Linked DNA regions of Mytilus edulis. The protein of the gene in region 3 purifies or fractionates together with the protein of the main gene of each other region. This does not show direct contact. Links are inferred from orthologs where the notes say so. Each region holds a gene or a part of one and is shown on either strand. Other genes may lie near its edges.

Region 1 (7,610 bases), about 79 Mb from region 3:
CTTTGGACTTTAGTGTAGACCAATTTGAAAACAGGACCAAAAATGAAGAATCTACATACACAGTTAGATTTGGTATATTAAAGAACCCCATTTATTCAATTTTTGATGAAATCAAACAAAGTTTAATTTTGGACCCCGATTTGGACCAACTTGAAAACTGGGCCAATAATCAAGAATCTAAGTACATTTTTAGATTCAGCATATCAAAGAACCTAACTGATTCATTTTTTGTCAAAATCAAACTAAGTTTAATTTTGGACCCTTTGGACCTTAATGTAGACCAATTTGAAAACGGGACCAAAAGTTAAGAATCTACATACACAGTCATGACAGTTAGATTCGGCATATCAAAGAACCCCAATTATTCAATTTTGATGAAATCAAACAAAGTTTAATTTTGGACCCTTTGGGCCCCTTATTCTGTTGGGACCAAAACTCCCAAAATCAATACCAACCTTCCTTTTATGGTCATAAACCTTGTGTTTAAATTTCATAGATTTCTATTTACTTATACTAACGTTATGGTGCGAAAACCAAGAAAAATGCTTATTTGGGTCCCTTTTTGGCCCCTAATTCCTAAACTGTTGGGACCTAAACTCCCAAAATCAATACCAACCTTCCTTTTGTAGTCATTAACATTGTGTTTAAATTTCATTGATTTCTATTTACTTAAACTAAAGTTATTGTGCGAAAACCAAGAATAATGCTTATTTGGGCCCTTTTTTGGCCCCTAATTCCTAAACTGTTGAAACCTAAACTCCCAAAATCAATCCCAACCGTTCTTTTGTGGTCATAAACCTTGTGTCAAAATTTCATAGATTTCTATAAACTTAAACTAAAGTTATAGTGCGAAAACCAAGAAAATGCTTATTTGGGCCCTTTTTGGCCCCCAATTCCTAAAATGTTGGGACCAAAACTCCCAAAATCAATACCAACCTTCCTTTTGTGGTCATAAACCTTGTGTCAAAATTTCATAGATTTCCATTCACTTTTACTAAAGTTAGAGTGCGAAAACTGAAAGTATTCGGACGCCGGACGACGACGCCGACGCCGACGCCAACGTGATAGCAATATACGACGAAAAATTTTTCAAATTTTGCGGTCGTATAAAAATTAACTATAACCACTGAACCATGAAAATGAGTTCAAGGTCAGATGAAACCTGCCAGTTGGACAGTACAATGTACATGTACACCTTACAATTCTTCCCTACACCAAATATAAAAGACCTATTGCTTTTAGTATCTGAGATATGGACTTGACCCCAAAATCTTAACATTGTTCACTGATCCATGAAATAAGTCAAGATTAAAATTACATAGCTAGTTTATCAATGATCAATTTTTTTGCTTTGAGTTGACATAACTTGATGATAAGTATTATTTGTTTAGGAAATACAAAATTTGATAATAATGGGACAAAGTCAACTATTACATTAGAAAAATTAAAAAAAAAAATCCTGAAAAAAACTCTTGCTTCTTATGAACTCAAAAGCATTAACTTTTTTTTCAGACTTTTTTTATTTTCATCTCATTTGTCATGAGACTTTGAGTAAATTATATGTTTATCAGTCTAGTAAAATATAGGAATGATCAAAATACCAATTTCATTTTCAATAATTCTTTGATATGAGAAATTTTTTCCTGATGCTTGTGTTTCTTTTTTTTTACATTGAATATATGACGTCATCACTTAAATAACGTCACAACTAAAATGTAAAACAACAGAACCAAATCGGAAACGTTATGGTATTTCCATTTCTTTTTAATAGATTTTAAAATAAAATATGTTTGAATTAAAAAAAATAATTCATACAGACTTCGTCCCCTTTCAAAGGTTATGCCTGCCTCATGTTAAATAATGTTTGCTATAAGCATAATAAGGGTCCTTTTTGCTAGTGGGCGTCATATATAATATCTATATACTTTATATAGAATTTGTTTCATGCAGTGTTTTCCCTAGGCTATTCATGCATTGCGATCTGATTTTAAAACCACGTTGATTAGATGGAACAACATTTAAGACTTCGATTACATAATAGAAATCGGGAGTTCAAATTGTTTTAATGACCTCACAGCTTCCAAATAGCCTTCCGTTGAACATAAAAAGTAAACCTTTTGCAGTATAAATTTCTACGTTTTGAAATTAGTACGACATGACATGGCCGATACATCATATGGACAACAATTCTTGCATCTTGCCTATATTTGCCATCGCAATCAGCATGAATGATCAGAGAGAAATTATATTAGTAACAAATGAAATAATCATAAATAGAGAAAAATGCACAGGCACTTGTTTCTATTCATTGGAAGACCCACTATCAACGTTTATCGTAAATATACATTGATAGTGGGTCTTCCAATGTGCCTGTGGAAAAATGGCCCAAAAAGCAATACACCTTATCGCGTTTTGTCTGCCATTACTGGATATAACACAGGTTCCTGTAAAATTTTGAGGTCATAAAACAAAATATCTGATGCTACAATGGAAAAGTGATTGTGTACGACGTCAAAAATTCAAGCGGCCAGGTCAGCCATGGTTAGCAATAAGCATTAAGCATAAAAGATTTATTTAAAGTCGGTTATACATTTGTACATACAATGTATAACAATACAACAAACGCTCTGTAGAGCTTTTATCAGACATAAGGTGTATAGAGATGTAGGACCCTAAATCCAAACCCTCATTTAATCTATATATTTTGACATTCCGTCCCAATCGGTATACATGAAGCATTGAATTTAAAAATCATAAACGGACCTTGCAAGACGAATAAACAGCTAGCTTTTCCAATTTTTTGTTCCTGGGGTATCCCCGAACCATAGCTTTCTTTTGTGCAATTCTTTGTAGATTGTTCGGTCTAGACATTTCGCCTGTCGTAGACTGTGTAGGACCTTTATTTGTTTGCTGTAAATCTGTTCCATTTTGAAGTGGATCGCTAGAATTTGCGTCACTCATTGTTTTATTTGTTTCATTTTTTTATGCAAACGCTTGTAACATTGAAAATAAGTAGTACTGTGCAGCTTCACATCACTATCCATGACAACAAACTAACAGAAACATAAAAGATCTAACCAAACACAACTAAATATTTTTTACAGTAACGCACCACAATTTTCTGAAATGAAGTAATTTTGGTGTTGATAATACCAGAGACATATTATACAAAAAAAAATCCATAAGTTGGCCATATTATCAGCAATCTATAACATTAGTATATGACTCTTATTATTTTCCAGATATGTTTCTTCTATTTGAATATTTTTTCTAGATTTGAAAAGTTCTTTGAATTTATTTTTTTCGCGGGACTCCCTGGCCAAAATTTATTTGCATGAGCCTTTTGCCTGACCGGGATTAATTTGACATGTGCTTCAGCAAAAATGACCTTGTAGTTTTGGTCATTGAAAACTCGGGAACCGTAACGATTGTGCGATCAAATTTTGATTTAATGTAGATAAATATCATAGGTTGAGCGTCCATAACCTTTTATTTTCTTTCAAAAACCGTTTCAGTTTTTCTTTTCTTGGCAAAAATACATGTAAATAGAGACTGTCATTCACGTAGATTTCGGCCGCCATTTGTTAATGGTTTCGAAAGAAGAAAGATAACTCAGGCTCGATAACGGACAATAACTCTTCAAGACAAGTTGTATAATACCCCCAACGTTGATGTGCGATAATGAACTAATTAAGATTATTTTTTAACTGCAATAATAATAGATGGGACTTCTTTACTTTATGACTTAACCCCAGTAATGCCTTAATTCTTCCACATGTGAATTAGATAAAGCTTTCCAATTCTGAAAAAAATAATTTTCCCTTCCCTTCTAAAACAACTATATTTTTTCCCTTCCCTTCTTTGACAATTTAAAAAAAATGAGAAAGAAAACAATTTGTTATATACAAATATTCATCTTGGTATCTTTCAGGTTTTTTTACTCTCTGTCAACATAATTTACTTCTGCGCTTCATACAAAATGTACTTCGGTCAATGCTTTTACACCCCATAATAAAGTTACAAAAAGAAGCATTCATTTTGTTATAACAAAGAAGGTTTTTGTTTATATTGGTTTTGGTTGTCAGATAGGGCACATGCTACATTTAAGCTTGTCCTCATTATTTACGTTTTTATTAGTGACATGAATCTGTCTAGTACTATTTTTTTTATTTATAGCCCCTTACAACATTAAAATGTTCTAAATTTAGTATCAATATTCCATTAGCACGTGTTCATAGTGTTGACAGGTACTCTAATTCATTTAAAAGCTGAGAATGGCAGCAGATACACAGCAAACCCACAGACCTGGCGTTTTTAAACAACAAAATAAAGGACACAAACATGGCAAACATAGAAGCAAAGGTTCATTAGAAAGAGAAACAAAAGGTAAGAAGAAAAATGACCGTAAATTTATAAGCCCACCCCAGATAGCAATACTTTGTTGGGCCAACATTGGTGATTGGTTGGCACAGTTGGTAAATAGTTGGCGTTGGCAGCACAACAAGAAACCGATGTTGGCCCAACAAAACTCAGCCAACAGTTATTTTGACACTATTGGCCCCTTGTTGGCCCAACAAAACTCAGCCAACAGTTATTTTGACACTATTGGCCCCTTGTTGGCCCAACGACTTTCCACCAACTGTCATTTTGGTGTTATTGACCCAATGTTGGCCCAACATTTTCTTACCAACTGTTATTTTTAAAGTAGCTTGCCCAACGATATTTGACTTACGTTATCCATTGATTCAGTGTAAGATCTTCTGACTGAAACTACTGAACCAATTTTATTCGAACTTTATTTGAATGATTCTATGTTATCATAGAGACTATAGATTGTGTTTGAAGGGCATTGAGGACTTAGTAAAAAATTAAAATAATAAAGTCTTCCCAAATAGGACTATTTTAAACCGTCTGTGCCAAGAGCTAGAAATTTTTTAGTATTTTGAATAATTCAAAAGTTTTTAAAACAGTATATTTATAAAAAAAACCAACATATCATTGATATTTCATGACAATATTGAGATATGAGCCAACATGGTGCCAACAATATGCCAACGTATTAAGTTCTTATCTCCCCGTATTATACCACAGATTTTTTTATTTTTTTTTAGATATTATTTCAAAGTGCAAACCAAAAAATGTGCTCTTCATTCTCTTTATCTAATATTTTCAAATCTGTGTAGTCATTTAAATGTATTTATCTTAATGATTGAATAATTTTATGCACAAACAAAAAATACTTAAAACCAGCCCAAAAAAACAAATAAAATTTGAGTATAGTTTCTGCAAGTTGTTAAACTTGTCAACTGAACTCAGCTGCTCATTTGACACGAGTGTAACATCACACTCTCCACATGACAGCCGAGATTGACCTGCAAATATATTATACATTATATACAAGAGATAAATATTTCATAATACATAACATGAAATGCATAAATAACATGTTTGACAGACTGAAGCCATCGTTGGCATACTGCTGTTCGACCAACATTGGTCCAACATAATTTTAGAACCAGACGACGTTGGTAGACTGTTGGCAAATAGTTGACATTGTTGGCAGATTGTTGGCAAATAGTTAACCTTGTTGGCATACTGATGTTGGGCCAACAAAGACCCAACATGTTGGGCCAACTGAGGGCCGATGAGCAAAATGACGTTGGCCCAACACAGTTTTCCAACATTGGCCCAACAATGTTGCCAACAGAATGCCAATATTGGCCCAACACATGTTTGCTATCTGGGACCTTTGTGGATGGATAGAGCTACTAAGTCTGCAATTGTCAAGAAACGTAAATCATGGAAAAAATATAAATATTCAAGAAATAATTTGTCATATATCAAATATGTGAAGGATCGCAATGAATGTACAAATACTGTTAAAAATGCCAAACTTAGTTTTGAACAAAAAGTGGCCTTAGAATCAAAGACTAATGTAAAGTCGTTTTGGAATTATGTTAACAGTAAACTCAAGACTAGATCAGGAATAGGTACGCTTGAGAAACCGGATGGTACTTTAGCATCCAGTACTGCTGACAAAGTTGAAGTTTTAAATAAGTTTTTTACTAGTGTTTTTACTCAAACGGAGGACTTGAAAGATTATGATACTAATTCAGTGTCGAACAATTATTTAAATGATATTAATATTTGTCAGGAAGATGTGATAAAGAAACTTAATAAATTAAAGACAGATAAATCTGCAGGACCTGATGGTCTCCATCCGAAAGTTTTATATGAAGTTAGACATGCAATTTGTTATCCATTGTTTCTAATTTTTAATAAGTCTATCAAAGAGGGGAAAGTTCCAGACGATTGGAAAAATGCCATAGTATCACCGATATTTAAGAAAGGGAAAAAACTAAAACCTGGTAATTATAGACCTGTAAGCTTAACGTCAGTGGTATGTAAGATATGTGAATCCATTATTAGAGACAATATTATGAAGTTTATTCTTACAAACAATCTTTTTACTAGTAGTCAATATGGCTTCCGTCCTGGTAGATCATGTGTTACTCAACTCCTAGAGGTTCTGGATGAGTGGTCAGAATTAATTGATAGTGGTTTTCCACTGGACTCGATTTTCCTTGACTTTTCAAAGGCGTTTGATACTGTACCGCATCAGCGTTTATTTTTGAAACTTGAAAAACTTGGAATAAAGGGATGCATTTTAAATTGGATAAAAAGTTTTCTATCTGGGCGTAAGCAATGTGTTCGTATAAATAACACAACATCAACATGGTCAGACGTTGTGAGTGGTGTACCTCAGGGAAGTGTTTTAGGACCAGTTCTTTTCTTAACATTTATAAATGATCTTCCTGATGTAGTAGAGGGCATAGTGAAAATTTTTGCTGATGATTGTAAAGTTTATTCTAAAGTCTCGTCAGATTATGAGCAAAGTAAGTTACAGGAAAATTTGGACAGATTATGTGAATGGTCAGATATGTGGAAATTAAAATTTAATGCTGCTAAATGTAAAGTATTGCATATTAATCCTGACAATGACCTGAAATATCGTTATACCATGTTGGATGAATCTGGAAATTTTATTGCATTATCTACAGTGAATGAAGAAAAGGATCTTGGAGTAACTTTCGAGTCTAATTTGAAATTTGAAAAACATATAAGTGATATTTACAACAAAGCGCAGAGAGTGTTGTCTCTTATTCATCATTCTTTTGATTACATGGATCAAGATATGTTTCTTACTATTTATAAATCAATAGTGCGTCCGCTGCTTGAATATGCGACATGCGTCTGGTCACCGTATCTTAAAAAAGACATCCGTAAACTGGAATCTGTACAAAGGAGGGCCACAAAACTGGTGAAAAATATTTGTCATCTTAATTATGAAGACAGGCTACGTTCATTGGGTTTGCCAACTTTGGAATATCGTAGGGATAGGAATGACATGATACAAGTCTACAAATCGTTGCATGGTATAGATGACATCGACTGGATGAAGCTATTTACTTTAGCACCATCTAATAATACAAGAGGTCACTCATTAAAACTGTTTAAAAAACAGTGTAAGACCACACATAGACTAAATACTTTTTCAATTAGAGTAGTGGATCAGTGGAATAACCTGTCTGATTTAACAGTGACGGCAA
Region 2 (7,579 bases), on a different chromosome or scaffold from region 3:
GCATATCAAAGAACCCCAATTATTCAATTTTTGATGAAATCAAACAAAGTTCAATTTTGGACCCTTTGGGCCCCTTATTCCTAAACTGTTAGGACCAAAACTCCCAAAATAAAACCCAACCTTCCTTTTATGGTCATAAACCTTGTGTTTAAATTTCATAGATTTCTATTTACTTATACTAAAGTTATGGTGCGAAAACCAAGACTAATGCTTATTTGGGCCCCTTTTTGGCCCCTAATTCCTAAACTGTTGAGACCTCAACTCCCAAAATCGATCCAAACCTTCCTTTTGTGGTCATAAACCTTGTGTTTACATTTCATTGATTTCTATTTACTTATACTAAAGTTATTGTGCGAAAACCAAGAATAATGCTTATTTGGGCCCTTTTTTAGCCCCTAATTCCTAAACTGTTGGAATTAAACATCCCAAAATCAATCCCATCCTTCCTTTTGTAGTCATAAACCTTGTGTTAAAATTTCATAGATTTCTATTTTCTTAAACTAAAGTTATAGTGCGAAAACCAAGAAAATGCTTATTTGGGCCCTTTTTGGCCCCTAATTCCTAAAATATTGGGACCAAAACTCCCAAAATCAATCCCAACCTTCCTTTTGTGGTCACAAACCTTGTGTCAAAATTTCATAGATGTCTATTCACTTTTACTAAAGTTAGAGTGCGAAAACTAAAAGTATTCGGACAACGACGACGATGCCGACGACGCAGACGACGACGCCAACATCATACCAATATACGACCAAAAAATTTTCAATTTTTGCGGTCATATAAAAACTGCAAAATTTTCTTAAAATTACCAATTCAGGGGCAGCAACCCAACAACAGGTTATCCGATTCGTCTGAAAATTTCAGGGCAGATAGATCTTGACCTGATCAACAATTTTACCCAAGTCAGATTTGCTCTAAATGCTTTGGTTTTAAAGATATAAGCCAAAATATACATTTTACCCCTGTGTTCTATTTTTAGCCATGGCAGCCATCTTGGTTTGATGGCCAGGTCATAGGACACATTTTTTAAACTAGATACCCCAAGGATGATTGTGGCCAAGTGTGATTAAATTTGGCCCAGTAGTTTCAGAGGAGAAGATTTTTGTAAAAGTTTACGGACCCCAGACCACGGACGACGGACGCCAAGTGATGAGAAAAGCTCACTTGACCTTTCAGGTCAGGTGAGCTAATAAAAAATGAACAAATTGATACCCGATTTATATAATTCCAAGGCCGTCTGTTGGCACCAGAAGCGAAGAAGCAGCGCATCTATTTTGGATGGGCAAATATCCATTTTTGATATGGGACAAGCTCTGACGTCCCATGGCCCCAGCTTGTCTGGCAAAACATCCGTTGGATGTCAGAGTAATCAAAGACCAAGTCTATGTATGAAGTCAATACAGGATACACTGACCCAAAGAAGTATATCTACCTAGGACTTCGTCCTCTGTCAATATACTTCTTTCAGGTCAATATTTCCTCCTGTGATATCATCTTCAATTTGTTGAAGGTGATCACTATATGTTAGAATAGAATAGAAAATAGAGAATACATCCTTGTAGCGACCTCAGGGTAACACGAATGACCGAATAACACTGTTATTATCCTAATAAAACATAGAATAGAACATGGCGGCCAATGTGATGTCTGTGGTCACCATGTTGGACGTACACACTAAATTTTAAAAGTTTGTTATGAACTAATCTTCTTTCTACAGTCAGGGGACTTACTGAAATAAGTGATTTTTAAATCACTTATTTGAGTAGCAAATTCAAAGTTTTGTCACAAATTGGGATTTTGTAGTTTTTTCAAAATTTTAAACACATAGGTTTAAATAATATCTTTTAATTAGTAAAATTGAAAAAAATGAACTTTTTGCTTCTTTTAAGTAGTAAGGTTTATGCCTTTGATGCTATCATTTAGCTGAAAATTCTATTTTAGTTGAAAAAATGCTATAATAATGGCTTTACATAATGAACTGATACTTTCATAACAGATTTTTCCAGGCAGTGGGAGTATTTTTCCTGTAAAGTTCAAGGTTTCATCTTTCAGATTATGTAATAAAATTCTACTGTTCGCGATAAAAATTTCACTGTTCGCAGGTGTTGAAATTAGTGGGGGTTATTAAAATAATGATACTTAAATAAGTGATTTTTGGGAAGGAAATTGAGGTATGATACTTAAACAAGTGATTTTAATGTCATTATCCTAGATTCAGTACAAGGTCATCACCTGAAATGACCTGGTCATCCTAAACAACACAGATGTTGGTTCTGATAAGTTTAGAAACATAATTAGTCCCTGGATCATTTGTATTCTTTATTTAAAGCTACAATAAGATTAAATCACTTCTTCTAGTGATTAATTTGTACTACTTAAATAGGTGATTATTAAAGAAAGACAACTCTTACTTCCAACTTTTATGGAAATAATGTTACTTAAACCAGTGATTTAGAAAATCACTCATTAAGTAAGTATAAATCATTTATAAGTTATGAAATACATTGATAATATACTATAATTTAATGATCAATGTTTAAAAGTCACCAATATGTGGTAATATTAAAAATTTCAAGTGTTATTCAGTCTTTACAAGTGTAATTTGGATATTAACAGTGTTATTCGGTCATTCGAGGTACTGTCGACCTCATACAAAGGCTATAATTGTATGGTATTGCAAATATGCAAAATGGCTACAATACCAACTGTATCCCCAAACAATTATAGCATATGCCTTATTATTACAAAGATATGTATAATGAACTATAAAATATACATTTTACATGTTTGTTTTGATTTCCACAGTTGCTTCGAGTTTGATATTTTGCCATTACGTTCTTGTTTGTCAATCGCTCGTTTGGATTTATATAAAGCATTCATTCATTGTTGGGATATATTTCGTTAACATACATTAGAGTTCTATATTCTTACAAGGGCTTTGTTAAAATAGTACGTTGCAATCAATGAAACATTTCTTTCTTTCCTTCTGTTTAGGAAGAGAAGGGAGGTAATTAGAAAATTATAAATGTGTAATCAATTTCGGCTTTTGTTTCCGGATTTTACGAGGTCTCGGTCACCCCAACTCCCACTCCAACTTTGTAAAATAAGATAGACCTACCAGAGACATAGATACTCATTATATATATGTCTCTGAACCTACTTTGACAAAAATAGAACATTTGATGTTATTGTTTACTAAAAAAAACCAGGAACATATATATATTAACAGTTAGATATACTGTTCCCAGAACAAACAAAATCCAGAAATGAGAAACTTTTGTTGCAAGAGAAATATATTGTATCTGATTTTATGCCCTTTATGGGCCCTGTAATTTGGAAAATAAAAATCATGTTTCTATTCTATTCTATTCTATTCAGGCCATTTTGAGCAAAAATTTAATTGTCTACCGATTTTGCATTAAAAATTTATGCGCCCCATGGTATACTTCTTTAAGGATTGTATCTTTTTTTCAAAGCTAAACATATTGACATTTTATAGAAAATCTTCAGCATTTCCCTATATACACAAAGGAGGTTAATTATCACGTTATCATGTATACCTCCCAGTGGCGTAGCTGGGTCATTTTTACGTGTACGCCCGAACCTTGGCGAGGGATATGAGGGGTGTCAACCGCTCAATGTTAAAGCACCTGCTGGTAGTGGGTTCGAAAGGGACGAAGCCCCCGAAAGCTATCGAGAATGAGATACCGTAATGATTCCTGTCAGTAAAAAATCATTGATAGCAACATACTTTTGAATCCGTAAATGGTTTGTTTGTTTTGGTTAAATCTTGTAATATGTTAACTTATTCATCGTGTTAAACTGGAAGCTAGCCTAATGGTCATTGGTTTTACAGAAAACGTCCAAACCAATATTACTTTTAAATAAGTTTAAATGGTGCCGTGAGTGAGCATACAATCCACAAAAGCACCTTTTAATGAACACGAAAAAAAAATATTTCTAAGAGGTGCAATATAAAAAAACTTCTGGAACACCTAGGATTTCTTCCCACAAAAAGTGAATCAATTTATCGTTCCTTTAAAGGGATTTAAAAAAAATCTAAAATTTTCTTTTGATATTTTTTTTCTTGATCTGGAATATTTCACGACAATCTATGAAGGTTTATAAATTGAGCATGTAAAACAATTAATTGCGTAAAGAAGAGTCCGGCTATCCTGCTGTCTATCAGAAAAGAATAGAAAATTAACGAAAAAAATGCTTTCAAAATTTTAGCTTTAGAAATAAGTAATAGAAAAAAAAGCTTCTTCGGCATTTTCATAAAATTCGATGAAGGTTCGACAAGTAGTTAATGTAATTGAGAAATAACAAAATGTAAGCCCAAACTGCGACCACTTATTAATTGCAGAAAGAAATACATTTTGTCCTTAAAATGCGGGAAAATTAAAGATATAATTGCATTATTATATTGCTCTGAATACTCTCTTGTTCATAAACAGTTTCTGTCCAACTTTCGTAAAATTTCACGGAAAGTCATTCAAAAGACTTTATCCACATTCGGAACCTAAATGTTGTCTCGCTTTTGGGACATAAATCACTGGCTCGACAAAAATACAAACAGCATATCGAATCTGAGCAGATAGTGAATTGCTTTAAATATAAGAAAAGTACGTAGAATTCATAGTAGATTCAGACTTTTACCAAAGATTCGAACAAATATATTAAATGATTTATTTGAGTAAATTTAGTCCCTTTTTATTCAAAATTACAATCCATTGAAAAAAGAAGCACAAGGCTGATGTGCTTTTGACCAGTTTTTCTTATTCTATGTCGAATATTTGTTTTATTTTAAAAATTCAAGTGTACGCCCGGGCGTTTTGACGTAAACGTAGCTACGCGCATGAATGAAATACAGGGGGAGTCCCTGGGGTCACCCCACCACTCCTGTTTGGGAACTTTGAAACAGTCGAGATCCCCACCCCTAAACCATATATATTTATGTATGGGACAATATAATAAATCGAATGAAATATAGGGGGAGTCCCTGTGGGTCATCCCACCCCTCCTGTTTGAGAACTTGGAAACGGTCGAGATCCCCACCCCTAAACCATATCATGAAAATTATTCATGTATGGGACAATATAACAAATCAATATGAAATATAGGTGGAGTTCGTGGGGCCACTCTACCCCTTCCTGTTTGAGAATTTGAAAACGGTTGAGATCCCCTCCATAAACCATATATATATTCATGTATTGGACAATATAATAAATCAAATGAATTATAGGGGGAGTCCCTAGGGTCACTGCACCCTCATGTTTGAGAACTTGGAAACAGTCGAGATCCTCACCACGTAACCATATATACTCATGTATGGGACTAAATAACAAATCAATAAAATATAGGGGAAGTCCCTGTGGTCACCCCAACCCTCCTGTTGTTTGAGAACTTGGAAATAGTCGAGATCATAGCCTTAAATTAAACCATATATTTTCATGTATGGGAAAAAAGAACAAATCAAATGAAATATAGGGAGAGTCCTAAGGGTCACCCCTATCCAATCCTGTTTGATAACTTGGAAACAGATGAGATCCCAACCCCTCAACCATATATATTCATGTATTGGACAATATAACAAATCAAATGAAATATAGGGGAAGTCACTGGGGTCCCCCACCCCTAAACCATATATATTCATATATGGGACAATATAACAAATCAAATGAAAAATAGGGGTAGTCCCTAGGGTCACTCACACCCTCTTGTGTGTGTTTTGAGAACTTGTAAAAGATTGAGATACCAACTCCTAAACCATATTCATTCCTGTTTGTCATTTCAAAAAGATTGAATGACATACAAGGTCAATCTCATAGGCGTCACATATGCATATCAATTTGCTAGACCTAACACCTGTCATTTTATTCCGAACTTAGACATCATGGACTTGGGTTGAAGGTGGGAGTCATTTACATTTACTATGAACAGGTCAGTCAGACCTCACTATTGATCCCTGTAGTAGTAAACATTTGTGTCTGATTTGTGTCTCATAACTTTTGTACTGTAGAACACAAACTCAGTTTTCTTTCCAGGGAATTCGAAGCAAGTCCATTCATATTTTACAAGCTCGTACTAAAGTCAACTTAAAATACAAACAGTCAACTAATACGAACAATTACGATCAACTAGAAGAACTGCAATCATTGCGAATTTGTACCACTGCTGACTCGAGACTCATGACCATGAAAAAAATATACTTGATATATACGTTGCTATTGAAAACCTTGATAAAATATGAATTATTTGCCTTAATGATTAATTCATTAAATGAACATAAATGTACAATTATATATGAATGTTTAATGTTTGTTCTTTTAAATCTTTAAAAAAAAAATGAAGCAATATTGCCACAGTTTTCATAATTATGTTTGACTTGGTTTTTGGTTAACTGCCTACAGTGCTTACAGCGCTTTGATTTTTAATTAGTTGCTTGGTGACAAGATATCATGGGGAACATTATCAAACCTACCTACCTACCTATGTAGTCCTTTTTATGCCCGGAGTTACATAAGGCAAAGACTAGATCTTTCTAATCATATCTGGTGTGCACAAGGATAATAGTTACGCTGAACGGTGCCCACTGGTCACCCTATAAATAGTACTCTTCTGTGTAGTAATATTGGTGTTCTAAAAATAGAAAACTAAAAATAGACCATTCTTCTTTCTATTTAGCAATACACCATATATCTAGAGCCTGTCACCGTCTGTATTATCTGTAAGTAAAATCAACATACCGAGCAATTGAATACAACGAATAACACAAACTTAAGTTTAATTAAGTCATTCAAAGCAAAATATTCGTTTCATCCATTTTGCATGATTTGTCATTTGTGATGACACGTTTTTTTGAATGTTCGAATCACAGACTAGAAGGAAATCTTCTTTTTTCAGAAGTCCCCAGAAAATGGAGATGAGAGTGGTATGTATGCATTTAATTTATTGTATAAAACCTTTAATATGATGGAAACATACACTATGTTTATATAATGCTGCAACTATTATTCTTTTTGAACTTAAAACTTGCAATCGTTTCTGGTAAAATGGCCACTTAGGCTTGATTTAACAAATCATTTTTATGTTTCTTGATTACCTTACACAAATATAGAATTTGATTACATGTGGTCATCTTAACCAGAAATGGGATTTGTTAACATCTGTTAAACTTTATATGTTAGAATGGGGTAACTTCTGGTCACCTTATGTTAATATTAGATTTGGTGACTTCTGGTCACCTTATGTAAATATTGGATTTGGTTACCTCTGGTCACCTTATGCAGATTTCAGATTTGGTCATCTCTGGTAATTAACATTTACATACAACTAGTTGATGTTTTTCATATCATTTGTAGAAAGTTTGAGACGATCAAAGAAAGAGAAAAAAGAAGAAGAACAGGTTTGATATACATTTTGGGTTCAACAAGAATATAGAATATTATTACATTAAGTTTAATATATCGATAAAACTTTACACAATGAACATTATCTTTCATGATCATCTACAAACAAATCAAAGAAAAATCCTTGATCTTTCAAATATTGCCAAGAGCATGAACAGTCGATAATT
Region 3 (6,988 bases):
GAAGTATTTCAAGTTACTGAAAATTGAGAGAAAGACAAAAGGGACATTTTGTTAAGTTTTCCTCACATATATACATAATAAAACTTCAGGATTTCTTCCACAATTAAGCTTAGGAAGTATAGAGCGCATGGTTCTATGAACTAAATAATCAAGTCAAATGGTTCTTCATTTATATTAAACATAATGTTAAAAATCCTTTTAATTGAAGCACGCCTATATGCTGCCATAGAGTTAAATAGGAATCTAAAGGTCAGCATATTTGTTTTAGCACAAAATCAAAAATATTTGTAAAGGAATTCTGATCCTTCCTTTAAAGTTTAGGAAGATATTCACTTGAAGCTTCAGAGGAAAAGACATTTTATTATTGCCTGATTTGCATCAATAGTTTTCATTGACTTTCCTGTTATTATTGTTGTGCTTGTATGTGGTGTTGTGTAAATTTAGCGCAATCAGATGTCTTTTTGTTTTTAGTGTGAAGTTGAATGTATTTGTCCTCTTTTCTACAGGTTTTAGAGCAGTTTACATCCTGGTACTTTTGATAGATGGTTGTCTCATTGATAATCATTCTTTATTATCACGCATAGACAGCTTTTTTTTCAGTACTGTATTTGAAATGCCATATTTCATACTCCTACCCTCCTATGGGGTATAAAAAGGTAAATATAACTAAAAACTTTGAACTTAATGCCCACAACTTGAAAAAACAAATCCAGTTATTGTTAAGAAATGTAAAAGACAATGAAAGAAGAACTGTTAAAATCCTATAAAATTCTATTAAGATTTACCATTGCATCTTTAATCTATCTACTTCTTCTTCTCCACTGTTATTGCATTCAGTACAGACCAAGTGAAAAAATACATCACCTGCCAATAACGATGGCTTTCCCGTCTTTAAACAATCTGATAAAAAATATTGTTTACATAATAACAGAACATGTATATGCTATCAGGGTTGTTCAATATAAGTATGGATGAGACTGTGAGAAGATAGATTAATTGATACATATTTGCTTTATGTATACTGTGGATTCATTTATTTTCGTGGGTACCAATTTTCGTGGATTGAGGAACTTTTGCATTTTCGTGGATATCTGATTTCGTGGTTTTGTCAAAGTCTGTATACAACCCAACAGCAAATTTGTGATTCGTTGAACATTTAAATTTGTGGTTCACTTGTACCAACTAAAACCACAAAAAATGGTATCCCACGAATAATAATGAATCCACAGTATTTGCAAATATTTCATGTATTATCCAAAATAAACAACATGCTATCTATACATGTATTGACAGCAAATACTGAGTTGCCCTCCTCTGGGTTTAGGATTTTCTCACTGCGTTGAAGACATTTTGTGGCATTGGGCTCTTTTCTACTCTTTGTTGAACTGTTGTCTCTTTGACACATTCCCCATTTCCATTCTCAATTTTATAAGTATTTTTGAAACCATAAAGGTATTGCTCATTCACTATAATTCATTTTTTATAAATTCATATTTTTTTTACAGAACTTAGGATTGTTCAGTGAAAAATAACATAATATTTGGTTAATGTTTGAGTGACATACATGTATGTAGTATTACATTATATTTGTGATTGCCAAATTTGCTTTCAATGGTGATACTGCAAATAAAGGATTTATAAATAAAATTGAATACACTCTTTATTACTCAAATTCCTAGTTATTATACAGTACGTACTAGATGACTTAATTGGAAATAACTCTTGGTGGTGAATTCTCAGTCAGGTGATTTTTCTTGATGCTCTAGATCTGCCATTTTGGTGGCAATGTCCCTTTCCGTCTTATTTAATAAAACCCTACTGTACCACATTTTCTAGAATTCTTCATTAACTCCAAATTTAATTAAAACTTTGTATTTTGAATTTTCTCTTCTTTTCAATTCTTTTAACATGTTTAACTGTCATTGACTCTATAAAACTGATAAATCATACCTATATGGAACTGTCGTCTACATTTCATACATGTTAACTTTGGAGTCTCTTCATCAATTTCCTTTACTTTACAATAACAATGTGTTGCCTCAGGTTCCATATTTAATTATCTAATCAATCATACTATGGTTATGTCTGTAACAAAAATTTTATTCAGAAAAATATGAAATAAGGAAGATACATTTAGCTACAACATGTATTAATTCTTTAGTGTTAATGCATTGTTGATCGAAAGAGGAAGAAGCTACTTGAAGTTAAAGAAGTAATGAAACCAGGGGCGCATCCAGAATTTTTGAAAGGAAGTGTGTAATTCCGCTAGTACATTCATTGGGTTGGGAGGCAAACAAAATTTTGGATGATTTTATGCAAAAAACAATTAATTGTGAAAACATTTAATAATCTTTTTTTTTTAGCCGTCAAACATGTCAAAGGGTAGTCCAAATAATTATGACATCTTGAAAGGCTATTATATTTTTTTCTTTGACGCCTTACATCGCAGGAAGGCGTCAAAGCAAAAATTTGAAATAGCCTTCCAAGACTTCATAATTATTTGGACATAGTCAAAGGGCAGATAGCCTTTGCCAGACGTCATAATTATTTGGACATAGTCAAAGGGCAGATAGCCTTGCCAGACGTCATAATTATTTGGACTAGATCACCACCAGAAACATTCTTATATATAAATCGCTATACATGTGTAAATTATAATTAATTTCCACAAAAGTTCTATTGTTATTTTTTAATTAGGTTGAAAAATGTAACTTTTCCTGTATGCCAATTGATTATTACCAAAAGATGGCAAAACCAAAAGAACCAATCAAAAAGAAAAAAATAGCATGACAAAAGACAAAAAAAGGGGGGTGAAACAGAATAAAGAAAATACATACAAGATTATTTATAATGTTTGATCATCAATATACTTGTTGACACTAAAAATAGTTGGTACTAAAGCATTTCCCTGTGTATATGAAAAGCAGATTGCAAACAATTTTGTTTTGCCGCAAAACCAAAACACCGGAAATTCCAATACTAAACGTAAGTACAAGTTCGGTGTAGACGTGAACGATTTTACGCCTGAGTGTGTATTATCACAGTCGCCTGAAGATTTAATAATTATAGCGAAAAAATGGGGGAAATAAAATATTTTTAGTAGTATTATATAGAATAATAATACTACTAAAAATATTTTATTAATACTACTAAAAATATTTTATTTCCCCCATTTTTCGCTATAATTATTAAATCTTCAGGCGACTGTGGTATTATGAGGGGGATAGGATATTTATCGGGACTCCGGGATCGGGTGTTTTTAAGCTCGGGATTTCGGGATTCGGGAATTCGTTTTTTTCATTTATTTAAATTCGGGACCTCGGGATTTCGTGTTCAAGTTTTTAAGCCAGGGATTTCGGGATCAGGACCCCTCAAACTCCGCATACACCTTATCGCTAATCCCGGCTGACCCGGCCGTTTGAACTTTTGACGTCAACAACAATCACTTTTCCATTGTTGCGTCAGATATTTTGTTTTATGACGTCAACATTTTACGGGAACCTGTGTGAGCAATGGCGGACAAATAGCGATAAGGTGTATTAATATGAATCTATTATATATAGTCTATATAATAAACTTCTCATATTCCAATTCCACGGAGCATTCAATTAAATAGATACTACGTCAAATATTTTTTGATAAAAGTAGGCCTTCAATCATTCAAGCACCTTTTTAGCTCATCTGGCCTAAAAGGCCATGTGAGCTTTTCTCATCACTTGGCGTCCGTCGTCGTCGTCGTCGTCGTCGTCGTCGTTAACAATTTTTCAAACATCTTCTCCTCTGAAACTACTGAATGGATTTGGATGAAACTTAGCATGATTGTTCCTTAGATTATCCTGCACAAAGTGTGGGCTTCGATTTTTGATCCGTCAAAAAACATGGCCGCCGTTACTTAAAATAGAACATAGGGGTCAAATGCAGTTTTTGGCTTATATCTCAAAAACGAAAGCATTTAGAGCAAATCTGACATTGGTAAAAATGTTCATTAGGTCAAGATCTATCAGCCCTGAAATTTTCAGATGAATCAAACAAACCATTGTTGGGTTGCTGTCACTTAATTGGTAATTTTAAGGAAATTTTGCAGTTTTTGGTCATTATCTTGAATATTATTATAGATAAAGATAAACTGTAAACAGCAAAAATGATCAGCAAAGTAAGATCTACAAATAAGTTAATATGACCAAAATTGTCAATTGACCCCTTAAGGGGTTATTGTCCTTTAATGACAATTTTTCACAATTTGTTCATCATATTTGCTAACTTTAAAAAATCTTCTCCTCTAAAACTACTGAACCAAATTCAACCAAACTTCAACTGAATGATCAGTAGGGTGTACAAAATAAAGTTTGTGCTTTATTTTTTATTTCGTCAAAAAACATGGCCGTCATGGCTAAAAATAGAACACAGGGTAAAATGCAGTTTTTGGCTTATATCTCAAAAACTCCAGCATTTAGAGCAAATAAGACAAGAAGTTAAAGTTTTATTAGGTCAAGGTCTACCTGTCCTGAAATTTTCAGCCGAATTGGGTAACTGGTTTTTCAGGTATAATGCCCCTGAATTGATGATTTTAAAGAAATTTTGCAGTTTTTGGTTATTATCTTGAATATTATTATAGATACAGATAAACTGTTTATAGCAAAAATGTTAAGCAAAGTAAGATCTACAAATAAGTCAATTTGACCAAAATTGTCAATTGACCCCTTAAGGAGTTATTGCCCTTTAAAGACTTTTTTCACAATTTGTTCATCATGTTGACTTACTTTAAAAAATCTTCTCCTTTGAAACTGCTGTATCAATTTCAGCCAAACTTAGGCTAAATGAGTTTCAGAGTATCTAGTATAAATTTTATATTTCATTTCCTTGTATGTCAGAAACATAGCTCCTATGGCTAAAATAGAACATAGGAGAAAATGATTTTTTTTTGCTTTTGAAGAAAATAGGACGATTCAAAGAACATTTAAATAAATTGAAAAGCCAAAATAATCATTGATGAGAGATTTAACCAAAAAAATAAATTAAGGTGAGCGATTCAGGCTCTTGAGAGCCTCTTGTTTTATATGCAGATTAAAAGGACATTGATATTGCCGGGTCATATTGACGGTAAACACTTACTTTTAGTAACAGACTGAGGGAACACCACTGTATCTGTATCTGTATGAGTGCGTTGTAAAACTATTCAAGTTAACAGCATGATTTAGAGCTACGTTACCTGGCCAAAAGTGTTCGTCACCTGCCACTTTCTTTGCTCTATATTTCAAATAAAAACACATTAAAAAAAAATATACATTTTGAAGACATTTTGGTTGGATTGTTATAAGCAGCCACAGACACTTGTCTCATATCCCCCCCCTATATACCTTAATATAACACAAGGTACTTAACTCGCATTCTTTGAAAATGTTCACCCGGTCGCGAATTTCTGTTATATGGCGATTTCTCGGTTCTCAACCCCACTAAAACTTGTTATGCCGTAAAATCAATATTTTTTCCAACACGATGGTGTATAATACGCATACAGTGATACTTTTGTTGTCGGAATCATCCATAGCAGGCCTGCCCAAGTATGTCAATCGTAATTATTTCGTCTACCTACACACAGGCACTTGCCTCAGAAATGTTTTTCCCATTATGCCATAATATAACATTATATTATATTAAGGTATATAAGGGGACAAACCTAGTCAAAGATAGAAAATTGTCTAAACAATATTTGTTAATTTAGTCATCGTTTTGTGAGGGGGGGCAAGGGGGGTTCCAATAACAGCAAAACAGTAAATTGATTTGGCGTAAAACAGATAACAAGGAATTGAAAAGGGACAATAACAGATAACAGTAAATGAAATTTTAAAATCAGTCCGGTCCAGGACCAATACAGTACAGTCAGTACATCTTATTATATAACTGGTTGTATGGATTGCTAGGCCTTAACAGAGACAAATATATTCACTTATTTTAAGTATATTTTGTCGAGAAATTAAATATTTGAAGCTGTTAAAGACACATCTTTATTTGCAGCAACAGTTTCTGAGCTTCACTTTTCATTATGTGAACCAGTTAAAAAGCGATCGAAAAATTGATAGTCAGGGTTCTCTTTCATGTAAATACAAAGAGGAGGAGTAGCACTTCTAGTGTGAATGCTGAAGAAAAAGATGTCGTGTAATTCCCAAAGGCAACATTTCACTCACATGCTCAAACAAATGATACATTTATACTATTTTTGTATTTTGTAAATAAGTATAAAAGGAGATGTGGTATGATTGCCAATAAGACAACTATCCAAAAGAGACAAAAAGACACAGAAATTAACAACTATAGCTCATCATACCACCTTCGACTATGAGCAACAAACCAATACTGCATAGTCATATATAAAAGGCATTGAAAAGACAAACGAAAAACAATCAAAACGAGAAATTTAACAGCTTGATTTATCTAAAAACTAATAAACGAAAACAACCACTGAATTGCAGGCTCCTGACTTGGGACATGCACATACAGAAAGTGGCGGGGTTAAACATGTTAGTTGGTGTCTATAAACCTTGGACAGTGGTGTAACAGTACAACATAACGTTTATTATTTGGTCATTGAATTACAATTATATACGGTGTATCAAGGCTTTCTTTTTATAAAAAAATCCATATGATAAGTTATTGTAAAAGTTATACATTGTTGAAAGTGATTTTAGTCAAATTTCATATACAAATTGTCATTTTCACAAATATATATATAATTTGTACAAAAAATGTGTACAAAGTCAAAATACAAATTATAATTTTTAGAAAAATGTGTACAAAGTAAAAAAATAAATATAATTTGTACCTATTTTATGTACAAATTATAATTTGTACAAAATTTTACATCTAAAAACATGTTCACAGACAATGGAATTTATTACAAAGAGTAACAATAATGTATACGGGAATGGTCCTGGACCTCACTGTTTTTAAATATGTTTATGTGATGTTTGTTACTGGAATCCTTCTGCGA
Region 4 (7,096 bases), on a different chromosome or scaffold from region 3:
GGAGTACTTTGTGGCAAATAAACCAAGTTTTTTATAGAAAATCCACAGCCTTTAATACAGAGATTTTTGTTATAAAATTTGAAACATATATTACTCACTTGCTTTTCTATGATGTGCTAGTGTTTGTTTTTTACAAAAAGTTCTAACCAACCTGTAAATTCCAAAATACCTCGTGCAGAGTAACTAAATTCGAGCGCACCCTAAAAGGTGTACTTGATTTGGTCCATATTTTTACTTGTTCTAACCAATAACTACATTAATAAACTTGTTTTAAGGAAATCAATGCTAGCACTGCATGTAATATTCCTATATCTATCGGTCATCAAATTGCCAAATATGATAGAACAAGGATAATGGCTGTGGATTTTCTATAATATTTCCATATGTTTAGCATACACCTTATCGCTATTTATTCCATTCCGGATAAGTTCTAAAATTACACAACTTTTTCATCCAGTTGAAGCTAGCTGGGACCCTGTTTAAACAATTCACCATGCATGATACTTTTTAATGAGACCTGTTTAAACTACCGTAAATACTTCAAACAAAATATTTTTTTACTTCAATTTTTATTTCGAAAAAGGTGGATCATACAATATCAAAGTTTCTTGATGATCACTTTCTAAAGTTTTTTCTTCCTCAGCTCACTACTGATGACCTCCATTTTTCGGCCGTTGACCTCAAACAGGAAGTTGTATAAATAAAATTGAGAAAGGAAATGGTGAATATGTCAAAGCGACAACCACCCGACCATAGAGCAAACAACAGCCGAAATCAACCAATGGGTCTTCAATGTAGCGAGAATTCCCGCACCCGTAGGTGTCCTTCAGCTGGCCCCTAAAATATGCATAATAGTACAGTGATAATGGACGTCATACTAAACTCCGAATTATACACAAGAAACTAAAAATTAAAATCATACAAGACTAACAAAGGCCAGAGGCTCCTGACTTGGGACAGGCGCAAAATTGCGGCGGGGTTAAACATGTTTATGAGATCTCAACCCTCCCCCTATACCTCTAGCCAATGTAGAAAAGTAAAAGAATAACAATACGCACATTAAAATTCAGTTCAAGAGAAGTCCGAGTCTGATGTCAAAAGATGTAACAAAAGAAAATAAATAAAATGACAATAATACATAAATAACAACAGACTACTAGCAGTTAACTGACATGCCAGCTCCAGACCTCAATTAAACTGATTGAAAGATTATGTCTTCATCATATGAATATCAGGTACAATCCCTCCCGTTAGGGGTTTAGTATCATACTATCATAAAATATATGAGAAGAACATAACCCGTGTCATGCCAACAACTGTTTTTTTAGAAATAAATGTGTTTAGTTCCGATGCAAAGACCCTATCAGTGAATCAATGTTAAAGCCAAAATATGCAATCTTTAATGACCTGACAACAGTATCGTAACTATATCCCCTTTTAATAAGTCTATTTAAAGGTTTTGTTAGTTTCTGAGGAGAATACTGACATTTTTGTGCTTTATAAAGAATATTTCCATAAAATTTTGGATGTGAAATACCTGAACGTATAAGATGTCTGCATGTTGAGTTATATTTACGAATTATTTCCTTATACCGGTGATAAAATTTAGTAAATGTTTTGACCAGTTTGTGATATCGAAAACCCTGGTGTAATAATTTTTCAGTAATACATAAATTTCTCTCGCTAAAATCTAATACATTGTTACATACACGAGCGAATCGTACAAGTTGAGATATATAAACACCATAAGATGGTGACAAGGGAACGTCACCATCTAAAAATGGATAATTAACAATAGGAAATGAAAAATCATCTCTTTTATCATAAATTTTTGTATTAAGCTTCCCGTTTATGATATAGATATCAAGATCGAGGAAAGGGCAGTGGTCATTGTTATCATTTGCTTTATTTAAAGTAAGTTCTACAGGATAAATTTCTTTAGTATACATACTGAAGTCGTCATTATTTAGAGCCAATATATCATCCAAATATCTAAAAGTATTGTTAAATTTTTGTATCAAATGTTGTTTTGATGGGTCTTTGCTAATTTTAGTCATAAATTGTAACTCATAACAATACAAAAATAGGTCCGCAATAAGTGGTGCACAGTTAGTCCCCATTGGAATTCCAATAACTTGACGATATACGGAATCTCCAAAGCGAACAAAAATGTTATCAAGTAAAAATTCAAGTGCATAAATAGTATCAAAGCATGTCCAATTGACATAGTTCTTTTGTTAATGACTGTTTTTCCCGGAATGGACTAAATAGCGATAAGGTGTATTGAAGCAACACAAGGGTACATAATCCTTAATGATCAATGTTTAAAAGTCACAAATATGTGCTAATATTAAAATTTCAAGTGTTATTCGGTCATTACAAGTGTTATTCGGATAACAACAGTGTTATTCGGTCATTCGTGTTACCCGCTAATACACCTTATCGCTAATCCCGGCTGACGCAGCCGCTTGAACTTTTGACGTCAACAACAATCCCTTTTCCATTGTGGCGTCAGATATTTTGTTTTATGACAACAAAATTTTACGGGAACCTGTGCGATTTCCAGTAATGGCGGACAAATAGCGATAAGGTGTATGATAGGGGAGTTAATTTCCAGTACTATACAGATACAGAGAAAGTAACCATTTGACGCCTGATGGTAAAGGGCATTACTATCCTCATAATAGCTATAAATGAAAGGGAACTTGACATGTCGTATGTTCTGTAATAGACACATCTGTATGAATATATGACTTATTTTTGGCTGTTTGACTTTTGGTTTCGTTGTGGCTTGTGCTTATGTTTACAAACTTTGCATAAATTTGGTAAAATAAGGTATTTTTTAAGCTGTGAGCAATCAGTAAGGAAGATCTTACGTTTACGTTTAGCTCTTTGTTTGTGCTGTTCTGGTTTTATTGGAATTGATCTATTGAAACTTCTACTATTCTGTCCCTTTCATCTTCCCGCTGTACAATGTTATGACCATCAGCACATGGGTACTGTAATACGCATGCCCAGTAGCAGAATCTCGTTTGTTTGCGTAGTCGATTTTCATAAACTTTTTATTTTATATAAGTGAAAAAATTAATATCTTAGATTTCAGTCAGCATTGCTAAAATGTGAAAAATCTTTATTCGTTTTATTTATTGTCTTTCATGCTTTGCAATGTTGACATTTTTTTCTTTGACACGTGACATGTATGGCCAATCATTTCACTTCGGTCGATACGTGAAGACGTACTGATCATTTGTGTTCGAAAGATCAGTCGAGTTTGATGCATTCTACCTCCGTACAGAAATTTCTTTTAAAACATATTGTTTCATAACATAGCGGAGAAAGAGTTAATGATATTTTGGACATTATTTTAAAACAAATTTAACTGGATTTTCACTAATTTTAAAAGTTGTTCATGTCAGGTGACAGCTTTTATCCAATCAAAACCTCTGTTTTTTGTCTGGTCGTATAAATACCATTTCTAACCGGGATGGTCGTTTATGTTGATGACTGATACGCTGTGGGTCCTGTTGAATCATGTGGATTGAATGGACATGACGAGCCATCCGACACTACAAAGGTTTCAGCAGAACACCCCAGTAACCAGTGCAGGGTACTTTTATTAAATTTTTTGTTTTAAACAATTTTAAAAGTGCAAAAAACTTAAAAAATGTCAGTCAACATCACAAACGACGCATAAACCGCCATCTTTTCATGGCTGTGTTCACATCGTCTAAAGAAAAATAGCGTTATATTTCATCTATCTGGACACATTTTGAGATTTTTTTGCATCTTTTTTGGAGTTTGTTAGTCGAGATCAAACAATTTTGATCTTCAACTTCTTCATAATGTAGAACTTGCGAAATATACACGGTAGTGAATGCATTGATGAATTTTCCGCTGATTATGCACTTATCAAAGACATATGTACCAAAAGGAAACAAACATACGCGACAGAACGCGAAAATTATGTAAATAGATGTTGTATTTATTTAATATGATAGTTTGTGTTTAATTATTATTGAAGTAATAGCCCTTGCATGGTCTTCTTTCGTTTTGTGAACGAGTATTTTTCCACGTGAAAATGGCGTCTTCTCACAAGAAAATGACTCATTCATTGTTCTAGTTGGTAGTAGGAAGTCCTTTGTTAATATATATATGTCGTTTAAGGGATACTTTTTGATCCCATCATATACATACCCTATTATACAATTTGATAAACAACGTTTCATTGTTGACATGATCATAATTTGTATGATTTGCAAGTGCTTCTCAATCTCGCCTCAAATGACCACTACTATAGCCATATGGATTATAATTTGGAATAAAACCAAATGAGATTTATATTAACTATCCATTACGGGACTTCATCAGATATGTATTTATTTTTATTGATCAAATATAGACAATTTTCAATGTTTTCAGAAGCTAAGTTACTTCATTATTTGCTATATAATATTTATACACCTTATCACTATTTATCCACCAATACTGGACATCACAAAGGTTCTCGTAAAATTTTCACGTCATATATTATATATCTGTTGCCACAATGTAGAAAACAGATTGTTGTATGACGTCAAAAGTTCAAATGGAGCAAATAACTACAAAGCTATATTTGTATGGCAATTTAAATGAATTACTTTTAAGTTATTTATATGAACAAGAAATGCTTGTTGACTCGAGGTCATTGACACTTGTAATGGTTCAGAAAATTAACTTTTGCATTGTAGTGTGACATTTTCTTATGTAACATCTTAATTTTTGGGGTAAATGTCTGATCAGTCTTAACTCAGTCATAAATAATTGATGTAAGAAGATGTGGTACTAGTGCCAATGAGACCATCCAAAGTACGGTGTTCAACACAGGGCCTTGGCTCACACAGAACAGCAAGCTTAGCTATGAAGGACCCCAAAAATGGCTAGTGTAAAACCATTCAAACGGGAAAACCAATGGTCTCAGCTATATGAAAAATAAGACGCACTTTAATATGAACCACATCAGTAAATGGCAAGTACTGATCATGAACATCAGATTCCTGACTAAAGTCAGGTGCAAACAAACGCAACGTGGTTCAAATGTTTTAAAATATTAGGCCTATGCTATTTTGTAATCATTTCTTAAATTTGAATTTCAATGAAATATTATTGCTCAGCTGTCGTAAATTAAATTTTTTAAATTCAATACATAAACATCGCATGACATTGTCTTATAATTTCTCTGTCTAATAATTTCCAAAAAGAGGGGCCGTGTCTACGGATAATAGATGAAATTAAATCGTCATTTTACAAACAAGATAAAACAAATCGGCATAGCTCTTTATCAATTTCACGAAACTTGGTTTATACTGATCTTCAAGCACGAAAACTGATTGGAAACACTTCGTTCGGAAATAAGTTTCAACATTCGTGTCAAAAACGTAATAGACTCGTACACTGGAAAAACGGAACAATGAAAAATACGAGAAACAAACTTATTCTGTAATTGTTTTCAAGCACAGGTTTCATTTTGCAAAAATATTTGTGCAAACAACATTTCAAGGTCAGTTATGATTGATTTGTCTATTTTAGATACATACACATCCAGATTATTTTTTCACAACACAAGGTGTTATCAATTCTGTAAGTGTTTAAATCATTTCATTTTAAAAAAAAATATTTTATTCATTTTTCAAGGATAATATATTTGTAAGGGTCGGCAGGAATAAAAAGCATTAAATTTCGATTTTATTTTTACTCTTTTAATCTGAAAAATAAAGTCGGCGGATCTGTAAACCAACAAATTAAAAAACCCTGGCCTTATGTCAAATTCAGCTTTCAACTGATCTGAAGTTGCATGTTTCTTATGTAGCTTTCTTAATTTTAAATAACCTTTCAAATACATGTATCAAATACGATTATATTTTGAAAGATATGTTGATGTTTGGCATAAATGAAAACGAAAGAAAACTTACTAGTTTGGGGTGAAATCCATAGCACCCCATTAAAGTAAATGGTCTGTACTGAAATGTTTTGACTGCATAAAAAAAATTGACAGCATAGCTCCTAAGAACATGTTTTAATTCAATTCACACAGGCCACAAAGTTTGGGTATATTTAATATTGTAAGAAAGAGAATAATTGCAAATGGCCCCCTTATCCTAAAGGAGCATACTCATTGCAATCGAAGAGAGACTTAATATAGAGAGAGTATATTTATTTTTCAAGCTAACCATTCATTTTCTCTACATGATCATCTTTGTTAAGTTTGGGTTGCTTCTAATTGATTTGGCATGGTCTCTATCCATTTACATTTCAAATGAGCTCTTTCTGGAATTTCTCCGTACAGGCATGTTTACAGGTATCCATAAATTCACAGAGGAGTGGTTTCATATTTGTCTACTTTACAACGATTTATAGAAAATATGACCTACTTCAAACTGCTGTCAAATTGTTTAACCACTGAAATTGGTTCGATAAAGTCTTGCTCAAAAGATTCTGTACCCGATTTGTTTGAGACAAAAAGTTGAAAAAGATGAGTTATCATGTCAGTTGTGAATATCCGCTGCATCATCCTCGATGAAATCATTAAAGACATCATTCCATGTGCCTGAATTTGTATAAACAGTTTACTATTGAACTTTTTGTTTGTAATTTGTCTTAAAATTGACAGAAGTCGACATCGTAAAGTACTCCTTCATAACTTCATGGATACCTGTAAACAATTTCCATGTGCTTTATCAGAAAACGGTCATATGAACGCTTGACGGGAAAGAAAGAAAAACTTAACTTAAATGTGTAATTGACCTAGACTTAAATCAATTCTGGAAAGGACATGAATTTCCAGATCTCATTAATAGAAGTATTAAAAATAAGATCTTCACATTTAAAGCAACAAAATTATCACAGTTGGGGGGGGGGGGGGGGGGAGGTTTCAAAGTCAGTCGGTAAACTGCAAACATACCATATTTTGATTTAAGCCTTATCAAAACCTATCGATCAATAAAATGTGAAAAACAACTGCCATATTCCTAACATGGTTCAAGCATTTTCATTAGAAACTGGTGGGTTAAATCTGGATTATATGTAGCCAGGTGAACCTACCACTTTTATGACAGTTTAT

What was found.
Region 1: the proteins of cysteine-rich protein 2-binding protein-like (region 3) and histone acetyltransferase KAT2A-like purify together in Drosophila melanogaster (affinity purification with mass spectrometry; 4 studies listed by BioGRID, with this or other methods). This does not show direct contact. The link is inferred for Mytilus edulis from reciprocal best matches to the Drosophila melanogaster genes Atac2 and Gcn5.
Region 2: the proteins of cysteine-rich protein 2-binding protein-like (region 3) and protein Dr1-like purify together in Drosophila melanogaster (affinity purification with mass spectrometry; 4 studies listed by BioGRID). This does not show direct contact. The link is inferred for Mytilus edulis from reciprocal best matches to the Drosophila melanogaster genes Atac2 and NC2beta.
Region 4: the proteins of cysteine-rich protein 2-binding protein-like (region 3) and WD repeat-containing protein 5 purify together in Drosophila melanogaster (affinity purification with mass spectrometry; 4 studies listed by BioGRID). This does not show direct contact. The link is inferred for Mytilus edulis from reciprocal best matches to the Drosophila melanogaster genes Atac2 and wds.

What each region holds. Positions count from the first base shown.
Region 1 is NC_092344.1:36,818,469-36,826,078, forward strand, and holds the start of histone acetyltransferase KAT2A-like, read right to left. Parts: upstream 3,020-7,610; 5' UTR 2,962-3,019; coding exon 2,764-2,961; intron 1-2,763. Other genes in the region: pre-rRNA-processing protein TSR1 homolog, read left to right, coding at 4,275-4,386.
Region 2 is NC_092345.1:62,860,533-62,868,111, forward strand, and holds the start of protein Dr1-like, read right to left. Parts: upstream 3,020-7,579; 5' UTR 2,932-3,019; intron 1-2,931. UniProt on the Drosophila melanogaster protein: Bifunctional basic transcription factor. Activates transcription of DPE (Downstream Promoter Element) containing promoters while repressing transcription of promoters which contain TATA elements.
Region 3 is NC_092344.1:116,012,011-116,018,998, forward strand, and holds the start of cysteine-rich protein 2-binding protein-like, read right to left. Parts: upstream 3,011-6,988; 5' UTR 2,838-3,010; intron 2,086-2,837; 5' UTR 2,051-2,085; coding exon 1,951-2,050; intron 901-1,950; coding exon 786-900; intron 1-785.
Region 4 is NC_092345.1:49,812,780-49,819,875, reverse strand, and holds the start of WD repeat-containing protein 5, read right to left. Parts: upstream 3,029-7,096; 5' UTR 2,877-3,028; intron 1-2,876.